2 linked regions of the Caenorhabditis elegans genome follow. The protein of the gene in region 2 purifies or fractionates together with the protein of the main gene of each other region. This does not show direct contact. Each region holds a gene or a part of one and is shown on either strand. Other genes may lie near its edges.

Region 1 (11,190 bases), on a different chromosome or scaffold from region 2:
TTAATAATATATTTCGATACTTCAATCGCTGCATCATCTGTGGTTTTGTCAAATCGGGATAAAAGTGTCATCGTTGGACGGAATGCTTTCTGATGAGAAATCGATAAACTACTCAAAGATGCTTCATTCAGAACTCGGAGCACTAACGATCGTTTTTCCTTTTCCGAGGAAAAATCTGAAACTTTAGAAAGTCTTATTGGTATCAAAATTAGAAGAAAATTTCGGAATATGATAATATTTTCGCGATAATTTCTCGTTTCAAAAATATAATTACTCATAAATTTTTCAAAACTGTGTTTACAATTAGCTTTCCGAAAAAGGCAACGCGTTTGAAAAAACGAATAGGAAACATTTTAACGAATTTATATTCTAAAAAGAACTTACTTTCATTTGATTTCTCCATGCTCAGTCCATAGAAGTTGATTTTTAATTGTAAAACTACCAAAAATTTTAGGGGAAAAATGAAACTGAATTCAGTTTTACAAAGTTTGCATTTAAAGCTGCGCCAAACTATTTTCTCGACGAGACCCCTACAAATTTTTCATGTACGCGCCTTTAACAGATTATGGTAATATTTTTCGGCGAATCCGCGTCTGTTTAATTTTAATTAAACATGTTTTATGTGTGTTTTAATTCATGAAGCATCATTAATCACAATTCTTTAAATACAAATGTTCATTACATTCTTTACAAAAATTTAAATACAAACATTATCAAATTCGTCACTTATGGATGAATTAATTAATTAAATAAAAATCTTTGAATCAGAATGATTCTACGTGGCAATCACTCACACTGGAACACGCTTTTTAAGAATATAAATCTCTTAAAAAATCAAATGAACCGAGTATGGAACGGGGATGGAAGGTTGGGTAACAGGTTATTCGGTGAGAATATGTAATAAATAATAATATTGATTGAATCATTTTCGGTACTCTTTTTGAGCTCGGATAATGAGCTCACAAAGCACCGGAGCATTTACTTCTTCTGGATTGGCTGCCATCACAGATTCAACGAAATCATGCGGAAATATGTTGCAAAGATGAAAATGTACACGTGAACGAACTTCTGCTAGACTTTCATCAGATCTGAAAATGTAATTTCGATAAAGCTTTGAATCCGGAAATTGTAATTGTTTTTCAAAATGATTTTTCGAAATATCCAAAATTAAATGTTTTAAAACTAACCCAGTATTCACAGGTCCAACGGATAATTCAGAGTGTCCCCAAACAGCTGTCGAAGGTGCGAAAAGGTGTGTCTGGGATACTGTAGTTGTCATTTTCGGCGGACGTTGACCCCCAATTACTCCGTGTTGGTTAGGAAGGACTTGATGATTTTGTTGTTGAGACATGTTATACATATCTGGATAAACTGAAATAATAATTGTTTAGGTTTTGTAAAGTTGGTCTCGACACGAATAATATTTTTTCAAACGGTGGTGGCGATGTGTTTGTACAGCAATTCATCCCCTGTTATTTTACAAATGTTATCCAGATATTCATGTGTTTTTTAGCAGCGGGAATAGGGTTGCTGTACTGATTAAAGACCTAGATTTTATTGCGCAACGTTCATTTGAAAATATTTCAAGACCGGCTACCGTATCTTTGGGAAGGAAAATTGCTATTAAGAAACCATGAGATCATGAGAATGCCTGACGTTTTGGCGCGGGAATATCTCGTAGCGAAGGCACCTAAATCTCTCTTTGCCGCTATTTTCGCGCCAGAAAGTAGGCATTCTCATGAACTGATGGTTTCGTAATATAAACTAGGTAGTGCACGATTTTGTTCAAACATGATTCTATATTTTTTTGAAGATAGGTTTTTGAAAAAACTGCAAGTTGAAAGTAAGTGTAAGTGTATTAATTAATTACATAAATTTTATAATTTTGGTAAGAAAATAAATGCACTTTAATTTTTTGAAATCATAAAACTAACCATTCATTTGCCGATTTACGGGTGTTAATGGAGATGATCCATGTCTTTGAACAACTGTATGTTGTTGCCATGGAGCACTATTTGCTTGTTGTAATTGCATATGCTGACGTGGCATTTGCATGGGGCTCTCAGGAGTTGGAGGAAGTTGGGACATGTTTTCTGTGAGTTGTTTAACAACATTCAATGATTGAGTACGTGATAAAGCTGCATGCTTGTTCTTGAACATTTCGTATTGCATCGATTTTACTGAAATTTTGAATTTAATTTAGGAATATACAAGATCAGTTTTAGGTGTGTGTTTATCAATTTAATAAGGAAAACAAGTCAATCAATTGAACAGAGACCACAACAATTTGTGGGGCGAAACTCAAGTCTGTACCTCCGAATTCAATCAAAAATTATTCAAGTTCTATTTTACGCTGAATTTGCCTAAACGACATTTTTTTAGCCACGAAAATGAGTTTTTGAGGGTTTCAACATTTGACAAGCACTTTGAGTCCCTTTTAGGAAATATAATTTTTTTTAAAGCAAACCTAAACTTTCATGAAATTTTCTGTCAAAAAATGTTTTCATATCATCAATTCAAAACGATTTTCTAGTGGTTTTTGAGCTGTTAAAGTACTCTGTTTTTGGCACAAAATGTTACAAACAGCCAAAAAGAATGGAGAAAAATTAGGGTTGAAAATTTGAAATCTGACAAATTTGAAAAACAAATTTTAAAATTTTAAAATTTTAAAATTAAAAATATAAAATTATACGGGTGGGGTTTAATTCAACCAAAACATACCTGCACCCAATGATTTTTTCTGTTGATTCTCTTTCATCAATCGCTCAGTTACACTCATATGTTGCCCATTTGCTCTTTCTGGATGATAAAATTTGCATTTATTCCCATATGTACATTTTCTTGCATATGGACACACAAGAGGATTTGATGAAACTACAGGAACTTTTGATAAGAAGCTTTCGATTCGCGGACCATGACGACCTGATGGATCATCCGGTGGCATAAATCTGAATTTACTGAGTATTAGGAAAGACGATATTTAAAAAAATTGAATTTTTTTAGAACAATCCTAGCTTCTAAAGTTTATTATTCTATAAACTAACTTAAAAAAAAAACACAAAAGTCTTGATGTTTTTTGTCTCCAAAAGTGAGAAAAAGTGCAATCAGAGCTTTGCTCTTTTGTTCACAGACTTTTCGGAAAAAAAGAGGAAAAAGTGCAGGAAAACAGGTCGAAGTGCAAATATTTGAATAGAGGAGAACGAATAGAAAACACAAGAAACACCTCAAAACAACACGGATGAACACCTCAATTAGCAGAATGTTTATTTGTTGATTTCATGATCTCGAAAATTTTTATTTATTTTTTCCGGCGAATCGGTTAGTACGATAATTAGGTAGGCATTTAAATGTGAAATAGAGTGAATGGCACTTCAAAAAAAAACCTGAAATAGTTCACACATTTAGATATTTTACAACAAAATGAAATCATGCAATTTTCGAAGCGTGATTCTCTCCTAGTTCATACTCTATGTTTGCATTCCCTCCACAATAAGAATTGCAAGACCAATCAGTGAACAGCTTATCCCCACTTCTGAACCAATTTATAAAAGTGTACGAAGTGGAACTTCACTGATTGATTCAAATGTGGATGGAGATATTTGCTGATTGGTCCTGAGACTACAGTTCTCGTTTTGGAGAAAATTCAGTTTTACTTTGGGTGATTGGGTTCAAAATTATGAATTGTTCCGCTAATTTTACAGCAAATCCCCCATTCAATCTATTCCATATCTAATACATAGTCAATTAACATAAGATTTTATGGCATTTTATTTGTCTATTAAACAATATTATCTCAAAGTAATTTAAAAAACTGACTTATCCTCAACAAAAGTGAACATAAGAAGTCTCTCCTCGACAATCTTCCTCCACGCAGGATTCTCACGTGTCAAGTCACGATATTCGTCGTTTGACACAATTACAGCGTCTTTTAGTTCAGCAGTCCTGAGAATATATCTATCGTCGTGGCAGACAACTCGACGACCGTTAACGTTTCTGAAAATTATTACATATTCTATTTAATATGGAAACTATGATACTCAATTTTTAACAAGACATTGAAAATTGCTAACGTAAAGTTCACAAATTGAGCTCAGACCAATTCTTACCGATGATATTCTCAAGTAAAACAACTAAAAATGTGACCAAAAAATTAAATTGGTGCAGAAGCTGGAAAAGCTCTGGCAAATGTGGGAGACAATTTTGAGAAGACTTGGTTTAAGCTGCAACTATTTTTGACTCGATCCAAACTTTTCCTATGTTTTTTTTAAACAAGGGTAAGTCATTGACAAGAGTTGGGATTTGGACTCAACTCGAGTTTGTCATAAACCAAGTTTTGTCCAAGTTTAACTCCAGATTTGCCAGTTTCTGGATCAAGTTTTTTTGAGTGTAAATTATACACTAAGTATTTAAATGTCGTAAGGCGCACCTAGAAGGAGTATAAATGATATGTCGTTCGATTTCCTGTAGGATATGTTGATCTGTGATAGGGCTATCCGATCGTGGTTGTTCTCTTCTGAAAACTCATATTTTCAGAATTATATTCATTTAATAATTCCGTAGCCATGGTCAAATTAACATTAAAAACCAAATGACTTACAATCACGTACCGTAAATTTTTATGGAAACTACAGTAGACTACTGTATTACAGAAATTTCAAGTGTCGTTTTCACACTTACCTGTATTGGGGAATAAATATGAGAACTTCCGGATGTCCCCGTTCCAGAAAATAATTGAGACACTCGCGGAGACCTGCACACGAGAAGACTTCTTTACGGCCGTGTCTGAAAATGATTATTTCAAATGGGTAAATAGAATAGATTAAAATAATTAGATCGACAAGTTTTGAACTGTTTTGTAAAGTTTAGTAAAGACTGTTTTAATGGTAAAAACCAACATTTTAACAACTAGATAAGATATACTTTTCAACAACAAAAAAACAGAAAAATCATGAAAAATTCTGAGAATCATGGAAAATGGTGAATAAATCATGATGATCAAGAGAGGGTGCCGTTTTCCGTTTCTCTCTGTCTCCCTCTCTCTATCCCTCTATTGACATTATGTTTCTTCCCAGGGCATCCGCTGCGGAAAGCAGTCAATCCGGAGAAAGAGAGGGCGCAAAACTTTCATATTTGCTCATAAGAAGTGAGAGAGCACATAGGATTATGAGAGACATATAGAAGCCAAAAACGATCGGAGCAAGGCAAGAAGAAAGTTGGCAAAAATAACAGACTATTTTGGCGCGGAAGCAGGAGCGGCGGCGGACACAGTGGGAGAAACGGCACAGGAACAGAGCTCATTTTTGTAGAAAAGATGAGAGAGTTTATAAAAACAAGAGAGAATGTGAGAGAAACATAGACAAATACTTCCGGTAGGCGGGTGACAAGGTCTGTGGTCACTTAGTTATGAGAAGAAGACACGTAGTCTGTCATTGTTTTATGTTAAACCAGAAACTACCGTAATCTTCTTATTTTTCTGGTAATGATTAGATTGTAATTGTCAGTTATTTTTTGGAATGTTTTAGTTCTTTTGTACTTAAAATATATCGTGAATATCTCCACTGCTTATTCAAAATCTCCGTTTCTATCTATGTATTTTTCTACCATTTGTTTTGCGTCAACTTACAACATTGCAACATTTGATCCATCAACAACCACAGCTCTCAAACTTGGATCCGGGTTGTATTTGGATGGTGTGGATGATGACGTGGCAGGTGATGACGTGGCAATTGATACTGATTGTCTAATAGGACGATGACTTGACGATGATGAGGCAGAAGAAGACGATGCAGAGGAAGTCATGATTGGTTCAGGAGAATTTCTACTTCCAGATTTTCCAGAATTTTCTGGTTTACCACCAGGAAGACCCATTTTTACAAGTTCTGAGAGCACGTCGTCCTGAAATTTTTTTAGTTTTGTTTGACAATATTCGAATCAAATTTATGAAATTTCAATTGAATACTGTTATTTTTGATTTTTGGTGAGACATTTCCAACTTTTCGCAATTTACTAGAAAATCTGAAAACTATTTTCCTTAAATTGTCGTATAGTGTTTTTAAAGTCACAAACATGTTCTAATTTAAATATTTTTCTGAAGTAATAAACACGAACCATTCTAGAATCAACACCAATTGTATTCAATACGTGACTTAGTTGCTCTGTCGAATATCCCAATTTCGTGGCGAATTCAACAACTTCCGGTGCTGGATATCTTATCATTGGCGCTGTTTGGTCATCTGAGATTTAAGAGCAAATATAATTTTGTTGAAAATATTAAATAAAAATCAGGGATCTTTGAAATTATCTAAAATAATTGTTTCCTACTAACCATCAATTTTGCTTGGATCCGATGATTCGCGACTCAGTGATGGATGGGATATATCGTCGCAAGAACTGCAAAAAAACAATGGTAAAAAATTTGAATTGAAACTTTTTTGAGATTGCTGAAATGTTTAATGTTATAAATATTTATGTGCATCCAAACTCAATCCAAACTCATAAAAAGTGACTAGAAAGCTCAAAAGTTATTTCTCTGAAAACAAATTAAACTGCAAAAAAAACCTCCAAGGATTGAAAAAAGAAGACCTACAGAAAAATGAGAACAAAATTTCCGGCTGATGGAAAAAAAGAAAAAATATGAAAAATATGCGAAAGAAATGCACGTTGTCTGTTTCCGGGATAGTTATTTTCAGTCATTTACAGAGGTTTTATCATATTTTTTCCTTATACTCTTAATTTAATTTGCCATCATTTGTACTGAAAATTATTTTTAACGGAAGTGCATGTGGGTGACGATTTACAAACAGAAATGCAAGGTTCAACTTCTCGAAGCTTTTTTGCAGGAACTCTGCGAAAAAATTTTTTACGATGGCCAAATAAATTTGTCATTGAATTTTAACATCCAAAACAAGAGCATAATTAAAAACCTTTTCAAAAACTTCGAAGGTATAAATTATTTGCAAATCAGTTGAATATTTATATGTATTTTTACTAATTTTGAATTACCATTTCTTAAAATGTAATTCCGTAGATTTGTCGAGAACAAGCCATCTCTCCCCATGATTTCAACTGAATAATTTCAGACTAAATTAATTTTTTGAAATTTTTTTCTCTCTGCACTTTATCTGAAAACATAACAAACCTGTAACAAGAGTCAAAATCATTGCATTGAACTGGAGCCAATCCTGGCGGTGGTCCAGTTGAAAGCACCTGCCCAGAACTTCCAATAATTTGAGCATTTCCTTGTTCTCCGTAGGAGCCAATTGGATTTGACATTGATTGTACCATTGGTTGATGTGGAGTTGATTGATAATATGGATTGAGACGTGTTCCAAGTCCTCTTTGGTTGCTGGTTCGACACAAAGGGGCGTGGCCACGAGCCGTTGAATCCATCTTGAAATTTTGTGGTTTGGGCGGAGGGGGAGAGAGAGAGAGAAAGAGAAATGAAAAAGTAAGTGAGAGTAAAAACAATAAGAGCAAGGAATTTGACTAGCTCGAAATACGATGGCGAAATAGATGGCTTATACTTTTTTCACTGCTCATATGAAATAGTAGGTACCTTTTGTATTGAACTTTCTCAATTGTTGTGAATTTTTTCATCAAAAAAGTGCGTGGAATTTTTTTTGGTGAACCAAACTGGCGAATTGTCCCAATTAAGTTTTTTCAGCACACCTGTTGAGAAATTCCCTAAAACTCTTCCTCAATACTCTGGAAAACATTGGAAAAATTTAGATTCTTTTAAATTGTGTCTTTTGTCCCCATCCTATCATTAGAACTTTAAAACGGAAAACCTTTTAGAAGTCAACACAAAATAAGAAGATTATAGCTTTTTCAGTTGAAAATGATGGTAGAGTTCCGTCTGAAAATGCAATCGAGAGAAAATGGAAAAGACACAAAAATGATAGAAGAAGAAGACACAGGACAAAGTTTATATTGGATAAAATTCCTCGAATTCGGACTTTGATTCGGAAAAATTGATTTCTGGATTCAAATATTTAGCTCTTATTTAAAATTTCGAGCCTAAACTAAATTTATTTTTATTGGAAATCTTGAACAAACACCAATAAATGAAAAACAAAATAGAAGGAGGAGGGATTATCAACAATCTGAAAAAGACTCAAAAAAGGGATTATCTAGAAAGAAAATAAGAAGGAGAGAAATATTAGAGATATATATTAGATATATCAGTTGAATACAAATTGTGAAAAGAGGGAATAAATCCGGGGGTGGAGAAGAGAGAAGTATTAAAGAAAAAATGAAGGAAATTGTTTGTTTTCTTATGGAAAAAAACATGAGGTTATTTCTTTGATCAGGGAAATTGTTTGTGATAATTAGATTCCGTAGATTAATTTTGTGATTTTTTTCATGAAACAGAGGAAAAGTTTAATGACTTCCATTTTTGATTTAAACAATTCGTGTTTTTTGCTCATGCCAAATTGAAAAAAATGTTTAGACATCAGGCTGAATATTTTTTTCACAAGGCATTCCAGAAAGTTCGCGGTGAACTTATTCTTAAAAAAGATCTGAAAAACCAAATGTTTAAGTCGGGTAACATTTCAGCACACACAAAACATATCAAAAATATCACTTATAATTCCAAAGCTTTTTGAACTTTTTTCCAACATTATCAGTAAAATGCGAATAAATAATATTATTTAGAATTAAAGGTCTAAAATTTTCAAAGCCAAAATGTTTCTTGAATTATCAAAAATTGAAATTTTTAATCACTTCCAACAGTTTGATAATTTATTCTGCAAATTTTTAGCATATCCAACTGACTGCTAGTGAGTTTTAAAAATGAAATAGCGGCAGTTAAAACACTCATAAGTGATAATAAAATAGGATTTTGGAAGTTGTTCAACTAAATTTTAATTTTTTAACGTGAAAGTTTTGTGCAGCTTTTCCGAATCTCAAAATTAGAGACTAAACTTTCACGTTGAAAATGAAAATAAATATATGCTTTTTTAAATCTATGTCAGACAATTTCAGATAATCTGGATCTTAAAATAAACATGATATTTGTGTTTAACGTGTTCTCATCATTCTAAATCTTACACCTTTAAAATGCATTTCCAATTAGACAATACAAACGATACGGAGTGTGCTTATAATTTCAGAAGGGATTGCCTAAACTACACTAGAAAAATGAGAAACTAGTGAATATGAATGAATAGAATGGTCTTTTGTACAATCGCATAGCTAACACTTCCCTTCATGTTTTTTTTCCTATTTTCTTTGATCTTTCTCTATTCCTCTCTCCGTTCTATTGCGCAACAGAAGCCGAGAAATGCGAGAAAATGGACTGGTTATCAACCAAAAAAAAACGGAAATGAATTGAGCATGAGCAAATGGGAAACCTACGGAAGATCCAACCTCAAACTATATACAATTAATATACAATATGGTATATAAACTATTAAGATTTTTACAGAAAAGAAATCATCCAAAATTCCACCGATTGCGGAGCAAAAAAACCGATAAAATTTCAATGAATTTTCAAAGAATGATGAATGAATCAGACGTAATGATGACGAAAAGCAGCACACGGCAATGAAAAAGAGCAAAAAAATGGGGAAAAATTGATAACATGATAAAGGTCTGAACCGGGAGTGATTGTGCTGTAAACAAGGAAAGCACAGTACGTTCCGCGTCCTTTTTTATTATTTAAATAAAGAAAGATACCGGAAATAATTAGATATCATGAGAAGACAGCAGATAATTTGTGTATTATTTGAATAAGAGGTGGTTCGGAATTGATAAGAAATTTAATTTCATCTGAAATAATCAACTGATGTTCGAGCTTTCGGCCAAGGGTGTGCGGCAATCTCAAAATTTGCCGAGTTCGGAAAACTGGGCAAAAAATTCTGAAATACAACAAAAGAATGATGAGAACTGCAAGTCCAATCCGCGATTCGCTTTAAAAAACTTTTTTTTTCTAGTATTTCCGATTTTAGAGTACGTTTTCCATTTTAAAACAAACCGCTTACACACGCTAATTCATTTATACACTCTTTGGCAGCCTGTACTTTTAAGATTTTTTAAATATAAATTGGGTGTAATATGCACTGCTTCACCCCGTTTTTGAGTCGACAGAAAATTGGTCTTATCCTTCGAAAAAAACGGCCAAAATTTATTCAGTCTGAAAATCGACTCTGCCATTCCCAGGAATCTGAGAATGCCTAACATTGACCTTTGTTTCAAGCTTCCATCAAAAACTGGCAAGAAAACACAATCATTTAAGGTTTTTCGTTTTTAATTGGAAATGATGATTTTTGATCTAATATGATCAATCTAGAACAGTTCAAAAACATTGCACACGTGGGATGTTCTAGAACAAAACAAACCCATTTTGGTGACTCACTCCGGAGTACAGTAACCTGCAGAATAATAAGTCACTGCTTTATTTAAATGTTTTGTTTTGTTGACTTATTTTGTATGTTCGTGACAGTAGCCTCTAGTTTTCTAGTTGATAAGTCATTAATTATCAATATGTTCATGCAACTGTCTATATGAAATTACTTGAGTCTAGTGTAGCACTTGTAGCCAGTTATTTGTAGAAATGAAAATGAATACTAGAGATAAATCAAGAAAAGACTCTGAAAACTCCAATAAAAATCATGAAAAATGTGATTTTTCTGATCAATCCAGAAACTCCAGGAAGTCCCCTTCAAATTATCAGTTGATAAAGACTCTTAAAAGGGTGGAGAGTTAAAGAAAACAAGACAGTTCCGGATTCATCTCACCCTTCTCACGCCATTTGTATTGTTCTCTAATGTCTCCTGATTGTTCACACTATTTCAAGATGGCTCTCGATTCTTATCGAATGAAGAAAAATTCGGTGATAATAATTTTGATGTTGAAGAGGTCATGCGGTGGAGGCAAATTTGAGGGAAATTGATAGTGAAAGTGAAGAATTTTTGGAGAAAATAAACTCATTAAACCATACAGGAGTTTGCAGAAGTTTCGGAGAATTAGGACGTTTAAGGAACTAATACACAAAATGGTAGTGGGGAAAACTATTGTATTTCCTCTAATAATTTTGCACCCATAAATACAGACTAGTTGGAAATTAGTCTTGCAACCGTAATAGATAATGAAACCCTTATGAAACGCCTCGTACTTTTTTTTAGAAGAAGCAACACTTAATTGGTTTCGGGGACATTGAATTTGATGAGCTCCACAAAGAAGTACAAC
Region 2 (7,163 bases):
GAAAAAAAAATTTTTAAACTAACTTGTGATCATCATTCCATTTTTCACACACATCTTCATCCTACAATATCTGCACGGAGCCCGCTCCGCTTCACAATTGCATTTTTTCAGCTGCTTTGGAGAGTTTACATATCTTCGGAAAAACGCCGCACACGATCTGTTTCAAATAAAGAATTGTGTATCAAATTTTACTACCATCAAAACCAGATACCTGCAAGAAACGATTCCAAAATGAAGCTCTGAAGACGACACCTCACAAATTTTGCAAAACATGTTATGCCTAGAATAAATAAAAATTTGAAGGCTGAAATCCAAACTGTGTATACTATTTGACTAGTTTTCACATATTCTGATTGTTGAACTGACATTAAAACGCGAAAATGGCAAATCTGAATTTAAATCCTTTTGGTATGTGATCCCTCTACAGTGAATCACAAACCATAATGTTTTCTACACCCACGCGTTTTGTTTTATTTCTCATAAACTGTGACTAGGCTGTTTGTTGCAATCAGATTGTGGAACTATTTATAAATGTCATATTTTGTTTTGGAAATAATGAAACTAACTAAACTAAAACCTACTTTGTGCATCCAATAATTGGCAAATTCAACAACTCATGGAATGTCTGATGAGGTAGTGATTAGGAAGTTTTCGCAAATGACTGTTCAACAAGGTAATCAACAACTGCGCTCCACTGCAATTCAGAAACATGTGTTTCTACCAATGAGACATCGACGACATCACAGATCAATGAAGGTCAAAATATGGCATATGGCCGGTTGTAGAACGTAATGCACTATTAATTAGATAACATCTTAGATCGTCTAGATGATTTTTTAGTTAAGTTGGCAAATTGTAGTATTCTTCAGTACAATGGATTTTTTACATCAGGTTGCTAATAATTCTATTTTAAAAGTAAGTTGTTTTTTTTCCGATAAGTGAAAACGTGTTTTTTGTTCAGGCATTCAGACATAATATTAAGAAATAATTTCCCAACATTAAAGTCAAAGTTAAAGACGTTCATAACATGCTTGAAAATTTTTTCGTTTGTCTCCGATTATTACAATAATTTTAAAATGCTCATAATTTCAGTTCCCTTCACCCTTCAACTGTAAAATATGTAATCGGCCGGCACATGGTCATCATTGTGACGTGGCAACTTGTAAGGGCTGCAAAACGTTTTTCCGTCGGATGTATTTATTGAAATCTGAGCTACGGTGCTATATAAATAGTGACTGTTTTGATTTAGACAAGAGAAGTTAGTTTGAATTTTTAAATTTTAATTTACCGGAAAATACTTTTCTGTATTTCTCATTAAATTCTCAATCCGTAATTACAATTTTCAGCTGAACCACTTCTTCGTTGTCGAGCTTGCCGCTTCAAAAAATGTCTTTTAGTTGGAATGAACCCAAATGCTTTAAATTTTCGAACAACTAAAAACTTGACTCAAAGCTTAAAAAACTCCAAAGAAGAGAAAATTAAAGATGTGATTAACGAGCTAACCTATTTGGATTGCAAACTTGAGCAATTCAGACTATCGGCTTATAACCCAAATTGGACCGAAATTGGAGGACTGGAAGATTTGTTACGTTGCTCCAGCAAACTGAGCCTTTCTAATAAATTTGGGGTAACTGTGTTAGATTCAGTGAACAAGTATAATTTTGAAGTTTTTCCCCGATTTTCAGCCTTTCCCTGGATGGCCTTACCACCCAAATCATATTTTTGCTAGCTCAAATTTGGATTATAATTTCAAAACTTATTCACCTCATAGGTACGATTTAAAAAATATGAAATTTGTCAATAAAGGCAGTTTTCCAGAAAACAGTGGAGATTTTTCAATTTGCTCACATCAATCGAATTCTTGAAAACCTTCCCATTTTTTCTAAAACTTGACACAAAGGACCAGTTGATCTTGATGAGGCATGTTGTAGTTGGTTGTTCAAATTTACATTCTGCATATTACACATTGAAAAATAAATATGAAGATCTTCGCCAACCGGATGGCACTCAACGACCCAAAAAATCGTAGGTTCAAATTTTGGCAAATAATTAAAATCAATTAAAATTCAAGTGAACCCCAGTATTCTACATTTGCAATGGTGTTTTATGCTCTGATGAGAGTTGGAGTTCACTACATTGAATACTTATTGCTCAAAATGATATTCATCTGTAATCCAGGTAAGAATATTTTCAAGTGAGACCTGACCCCCAAACATCGAAGTTCACGTCAGAAATTAAAGAAAAACTTTTTGTCAAGTTTTCAGCGATTCCCAATCTGTCAAGCAACGCTCAATACAAACTAGAAAAAGGTCGAAGTTTTTACTCTGAAATGTTGCTGGTTTACTGTCTTCAAAGTTTGAATTCCAGCGGCCCAACTCGATATGTAGATCTGATTGGAGTTATTGCTACTCTGGAAAAGCAGCAGAAACTACTGAAAGATCTTCATGTTTGTCTCCTTGCTCCAATGTTGTCAATTCTTCCAAAAGAATTCAGCAGGAGTTTGATGTATGAAATGATTTTTAGTTAAGATTTTCGAATTGCAATTTTGAGAAAGATCTAATGAAACATTCAATTGAACTTTAATTTCATCCATAACCGATAAACATGTGAGAATTCATTATGCGGGATTATTTAAGCTTTTGAAAAAAATTAGAAAACAATCAAATTTAATTTTTTCTAGATTTTTAGTATTAAAAAAATGGGCAATTGACAGGACTTTATTATCAAAACAAATCCGCAGTTTTAGATGCTTCCCAATCGCGGTCAAAATTTTCCAAAATTGCAGCTCCACATATTCCTCCCATCATAGTTCTCATACATTCCTTGTCTTCCAAGAAACTGTTGCGAGGCATTGTTGAACTTGGATTAAGTAAACTGTCGATGACGCACTTATAACTTGTCGAAGTGGGACTAATCATGACTTGGAATTTGCAAAGTGAGAACGGTACAAGAGTTAGCTTTTCACAACCTTCTTTGTATGCATTGGCATTTGTCTGGTTATGCTGGGTGTAAAAACAACTTTTTTGAAGACAATTCTGAAATGTTTTTTTCAACTTCAGGCACAATAACAACAAGCTTCTTCAGAAACTCAATTAAAAATTATTATGATATTCCAAACAAATTTCGAATACCAAAACAAATTCTTGATTTTATAAAATCACACATACAAAAGTGTTACCTATGCCTACCTCGTACCTATAAAAGTTCATACTGTTAAAGTTCATCTGGTTAAACGACAATGACAACATAATAATCTGGTATACTTTGAATATAAGATAAAATATTCACTATCAGATAAGTCAAAAATTACCTGCAACTCATCACAAACATCCGGTCTGTTTTCAACAGCAGGCTTCGTCTCATTTGCATTTTTGATAAGCTTATCAAGTGATCCAACTACACCATTTCCCAATTTCAAGAGCACAGGTTGGCATTGTTTTGATATCATTTCATCGTGTAATGAAGAACATTTTTTCTCGTCTGGTTTGATGCTCATAATATCCACAAACTTGTCATAACTTGAGTTCAAATATTCCAGTGCTTTCTCATCACACCTTCTTTCGTTGGCGATACTCACAACACACGATTTTCCATTAATATATGCATCACGTCGAGTTTTCAAATCCGTCTAAAAGTTGACGCATTATGCTAATCTGATAAATGCCAATCCTTTCAAAATTCATTTGAAAACAAAAATAAAAAAAGGCATACAAATTGTTATTATGGAGTAGTCACGCATCCGGAAAATACAAGTAGGGAAATACTACTTTTTCCTACTATTAATTATTTCATATTTCTATCAGGTTTCGAACATTAGTTCCTGGAGTGTCCTAATAATTTGGCCCCTCATAACAACCCTACTTCTTATCAATATATAATGATTACCGAGAAAAAGTCAAATTCGACTGTGCAATGGCGTGACTTGTTATAGACCGTCTCATAAAACTTTGGGATACATTCTTGCATCTTGTAGTTATTGAACTCTATTTTTTCGCATTTTCTCTCATAAACTTCCTTGCTTCTCTGAGCTTCATCACATTCAATTTCCGCAAAACAACTCTGAAATCGTTACGATAATGTGTAAAAGTCTTAGTAACAAAAGCATACAGTAATTTTTTCACATGCGCTACTCATGTTCTTGGCAATTGGCACAGTAATTTGAGTTGGTGGATATTCCTCTGTTAGATACATCAAATCGTTCACATACCGTAGGCATTTTCCTTCTAGCACAAATTGCTCTTTTGGTGTACAAACTCTGAGGGGAGAATTCAATAGGTTGGATTTAGAATCAACAAAGTTGAAATATGACATTACTAGACATACCAAAAGAGTTGGTTTCCGCATTTTAGTGGGAGCAAAAAATGAATGAAATGTGATTTATTTATAGTTAGTCGCAATAATCGATTTTAATCCAAATTTAATAGGTATCGAAAAAACGTTGTTCTTTGTATTATAAGCAGTATATAAACTGTATGATGAACTGTACTGAGTCATAAATTTTTGAACGAAAAGTACTTTTTATCAAATAAAAGAATCTAACTAGAGAAGGTGCCACTGGACATGTAAACGAGGCATGTTCCATTTGAAAGCGCACACTGAGAAATGGTTAAGTATGAATTTTAAGCTCAGAACTGATCTTTTAAAGTGCTTCAAAAGCAAAATTCATTCTTTTGTTTAACAAAATATCAGATTTCTGGAAAAAATGGGTTCTTTTCAGAGCTCTCCCAAACGTTTTATGAAATTACGAAAGTGAAAGGCATTTGCAATCGAGCTTCTCTGAGCTCTCAGATAGCTCACTTCTGAAATTTCGCAGCTCAAAATTCATATCTATCCATTTATCAACACTGTCTTTTGAATGAAGCATGTTTCATTCAAAAGTCCGGTAGCACCTACATTTCCTGCTCTAGTATAGTCTTTATCCAACTAGAAACAGAAAACCTTTGATTTTAAAGACACAAAAAATGCCCGCTGCATACAATTCAGTACATTGGATTTTTTGCCGCCCAGATCACAAACTCATTTTTTGTTTACTTGCTCGTTAAAAAATCTGGAAAACACTTTGGAGCATATCGTTATGTTATGACAACATTTGCTTTAAACTCGTTGATGTATGCCTGGATTGAAATAATAACACATCCGGTTGTGGAATAAAATTAATAAAAGAACTTTAGGTAATCCATATAAAAGGCCTAGTATTTATTGTCTACATGGATAGCCCTTTGAAATATCATAAATGGATTGGAAACAATATTACATGTAGGTTAATTGATATAACTTTAAAGCTGAAAACAAAGTATTACCGTTTGAAAAGATATCAAAACTTCTCATTTCGAATTATCCAGGCCTTTTTTGCGGTTCATATGCTCTTGTAATATCTCTCCTCGCAGCTCAGTTTTTCTACATATATATCGCGATATGCAGGTATTTTGAAATATTCTTATAAAAATGAGTTTTCTATATATTAGGCCGGACGCATTACCTAGCATTGAAGGTTTCAAACTGAGTCTGATATTTATTCCGTGTTTTATTTGTTTCTTTGCATGGAATTTGTTGGTTTATTTTGGAATGGCCAACACCGTAGAGAAACAGGAATATATTGAGTAAGCATTTAAATATGTTTGTTTATAAAAGTTAATAACTTATAGAGAAGAACTGAGAGCTTGTTATGATGAAGATTCTACCAAGATCTCTTTTATTGCTCCAATGTACTGGTCGATTGGGGAAAATGGGGAGAAAATTTGGAACATTTTGGAAATTGTGTGCGTTGACCACAAAACCAACATGCGCACTTGGATGTGCGGTGATTATTGTAAGTTGTAATATACTAAAAGTAAATAATACCAATTGAATTAAAGCTTTGTTAAACATTTGTTCTTTTTCAGATTATTTGCTTTTCAACAATTATATTTTGTGCAACAAACCTATATTCATCGTTGAAGAAAAATCAAGTTCATATGAGTGCAAAGACAATGGAATTGAATCGCCAGTTTTTCAGAACTCTAATATTTCAGGTAAACGGTAGTTTATTTAACGTGATGTATTTAGTGTGCTCCACATATATAGTGATCTTCCAAAACAAATTTTTTAAAATCAAATTCATAGAAGTCTTCACAAATTATTGTTTTAGATGACACATTTTAAATTTACACGACCTTTTTTTTTTAATTTTTGTTGCTTAGCATGCCATTTTTCGAAGTGTATGTTAGCAAACTGGCGAGCCTTGCAGCAGCTAGTGTGGCAATATATCCGTCGCTGGAGCCACTTATTGCAATGTTTTGTATCAAAGATTTCAAACGATATGTTACTTGTGAGTGGTTTTTCTTTTAGAGACGTCGATTGAATGAAAATCATTCAGGTTCCCGCACAAAAGTGCTTCCTGGAAGTACATATCAGCTGTCAACTGGGGCATAATTGCACATTAAACAAAAAAATGGAATTACATCCAAGATTCATAACGATCAAGGTTTCTTCAACATTCCTTTTGTAAAATAAAATTCATAATTATTATCGAAATTCTCCAGTGCAGCAGCTCCACATTTAGCCTCGATTCCATTTTTAATGCAGTTTTTCAATACGACTGGAGCATTTTCCACAGTTTTCGATGTTTCGTAATTTTTCACACAGTTGCTTAAAGTTGAATTATCGTCTCGAAAAAAGTCGAGGCAATCGACAAATTTTTCATTTATATTGTCCATTTTTTCCAACTCGCCACAGACTACGTCTAAATATTCGCTGATCCCTTTCTTTTTGGAGAATGTACAGGAATCTACCAGACAGTCCTGAAGAAGTTTTTAGAGTTTAGATTACAAAAAGTTTTAAACAATGCACCTGTACATACATGCAAATCTTTGAGGTGTCTGAATCATCATGCTTCAGCAAATTCGTAAATTCATTTGCTTCGTCGCTTTCGGATTGATTCATCACCATTGGTGGCATAAGTTTTGCAAAAAGAGTAACAAATTGTAAAGAAAATTGAGAAACTGGCTCATTGCAGCGAAGCTCGTTTAGCTCATAGTACAGACCAACACAAGGTTCTCCATCAGGTTTAATTGAGATTAGATCCACAAAGTGTTCATATTGAGAAGAGAAATACATAACTGAACTGTTAGAACAATCATTGGTTACAATTTCCATAAAACAATCCTTTCCAGAAAGATACGCAT

Evidence for each region.
Region 1: the proteins of C12D5.9 (region 2) and rege-1 fractionate together in Caenorhabditis elegans (co-fractionation; one large-scale study listed by BioGRID). This does not show direct contact.

Annotation. Positions count from the first base shown.
Region 1 is NC_003279.8:6,953,751-6,964,940, forward strand, and holds rege-1 (Endoribonuclease rege-1), read right to left. Parts: upstream 7,390-11,190; coding exon 7,139-7,389; intron 6,391-7,138; coding exon 6,326-6,390; intron 6,234-6,325; coding exon 6,109-6,233; intron 5,896-6,108; coding exon 5,624-5,895; intron 4,783-5,623; coding exon 4,678-4,782; intron 4,514-4,677; coding exon 4,427-4,513; intron 3,994-4,426; coding exon 3,817-3,993; intron 2,949-3,816; coding exon 2,722-2,948; intron 2,181-2,721; coding exon 1,935-2,180; intron 1,372-1,934; coding exon 1,188-1,371; intron 1,089-1,187; coding exon 923-1,088; 3' UTR 664-922; downstream 1-663. Other genes in the region: T10B11.8 (BACK domain-containing protein), read right to left, coding at 1-181, 385-403. UniProt on the Caenorhabditis elegans protein: Endonuclease which binds to the 3'UTR of target mRNAs and induces degradation of the transcript.
Region 2 is NC_003283.11:7,685,633-7,692,795, forward strand, and holds C12D5.9 (T20D4.11-like domain-containing protein), read right to left. Parts: upstream 4,357-7,163; 5' UTR 4,345-4,356; coding exon 4,108-4,344; intron 4,060-4,107; coding exon 3,886-4,059; intron 3,629-3,885; coding exon 3,311-3,628; intron 3,036-3,310; coding exon 2,724-3,035; 3' UTR 2,561-2,723; downstream 1-2,560. Other genes in the region: nhr-94 (Nuclear Hormone Receptor family), read right to left, coding at 24-157, 212-273; nhr-152 (Nuclear Hormone Receptor family), read left to right, coding at 874-915, 1,093-1,258, 1,347-1,627, 1,686-1,771, 1,819-2,025, 2,072-2,178, 2,265-2,527; C12D5.10 (T20D4.11-like domain-containing protein), read right to left, coding at 6,459-6,779, 6,829-7,163.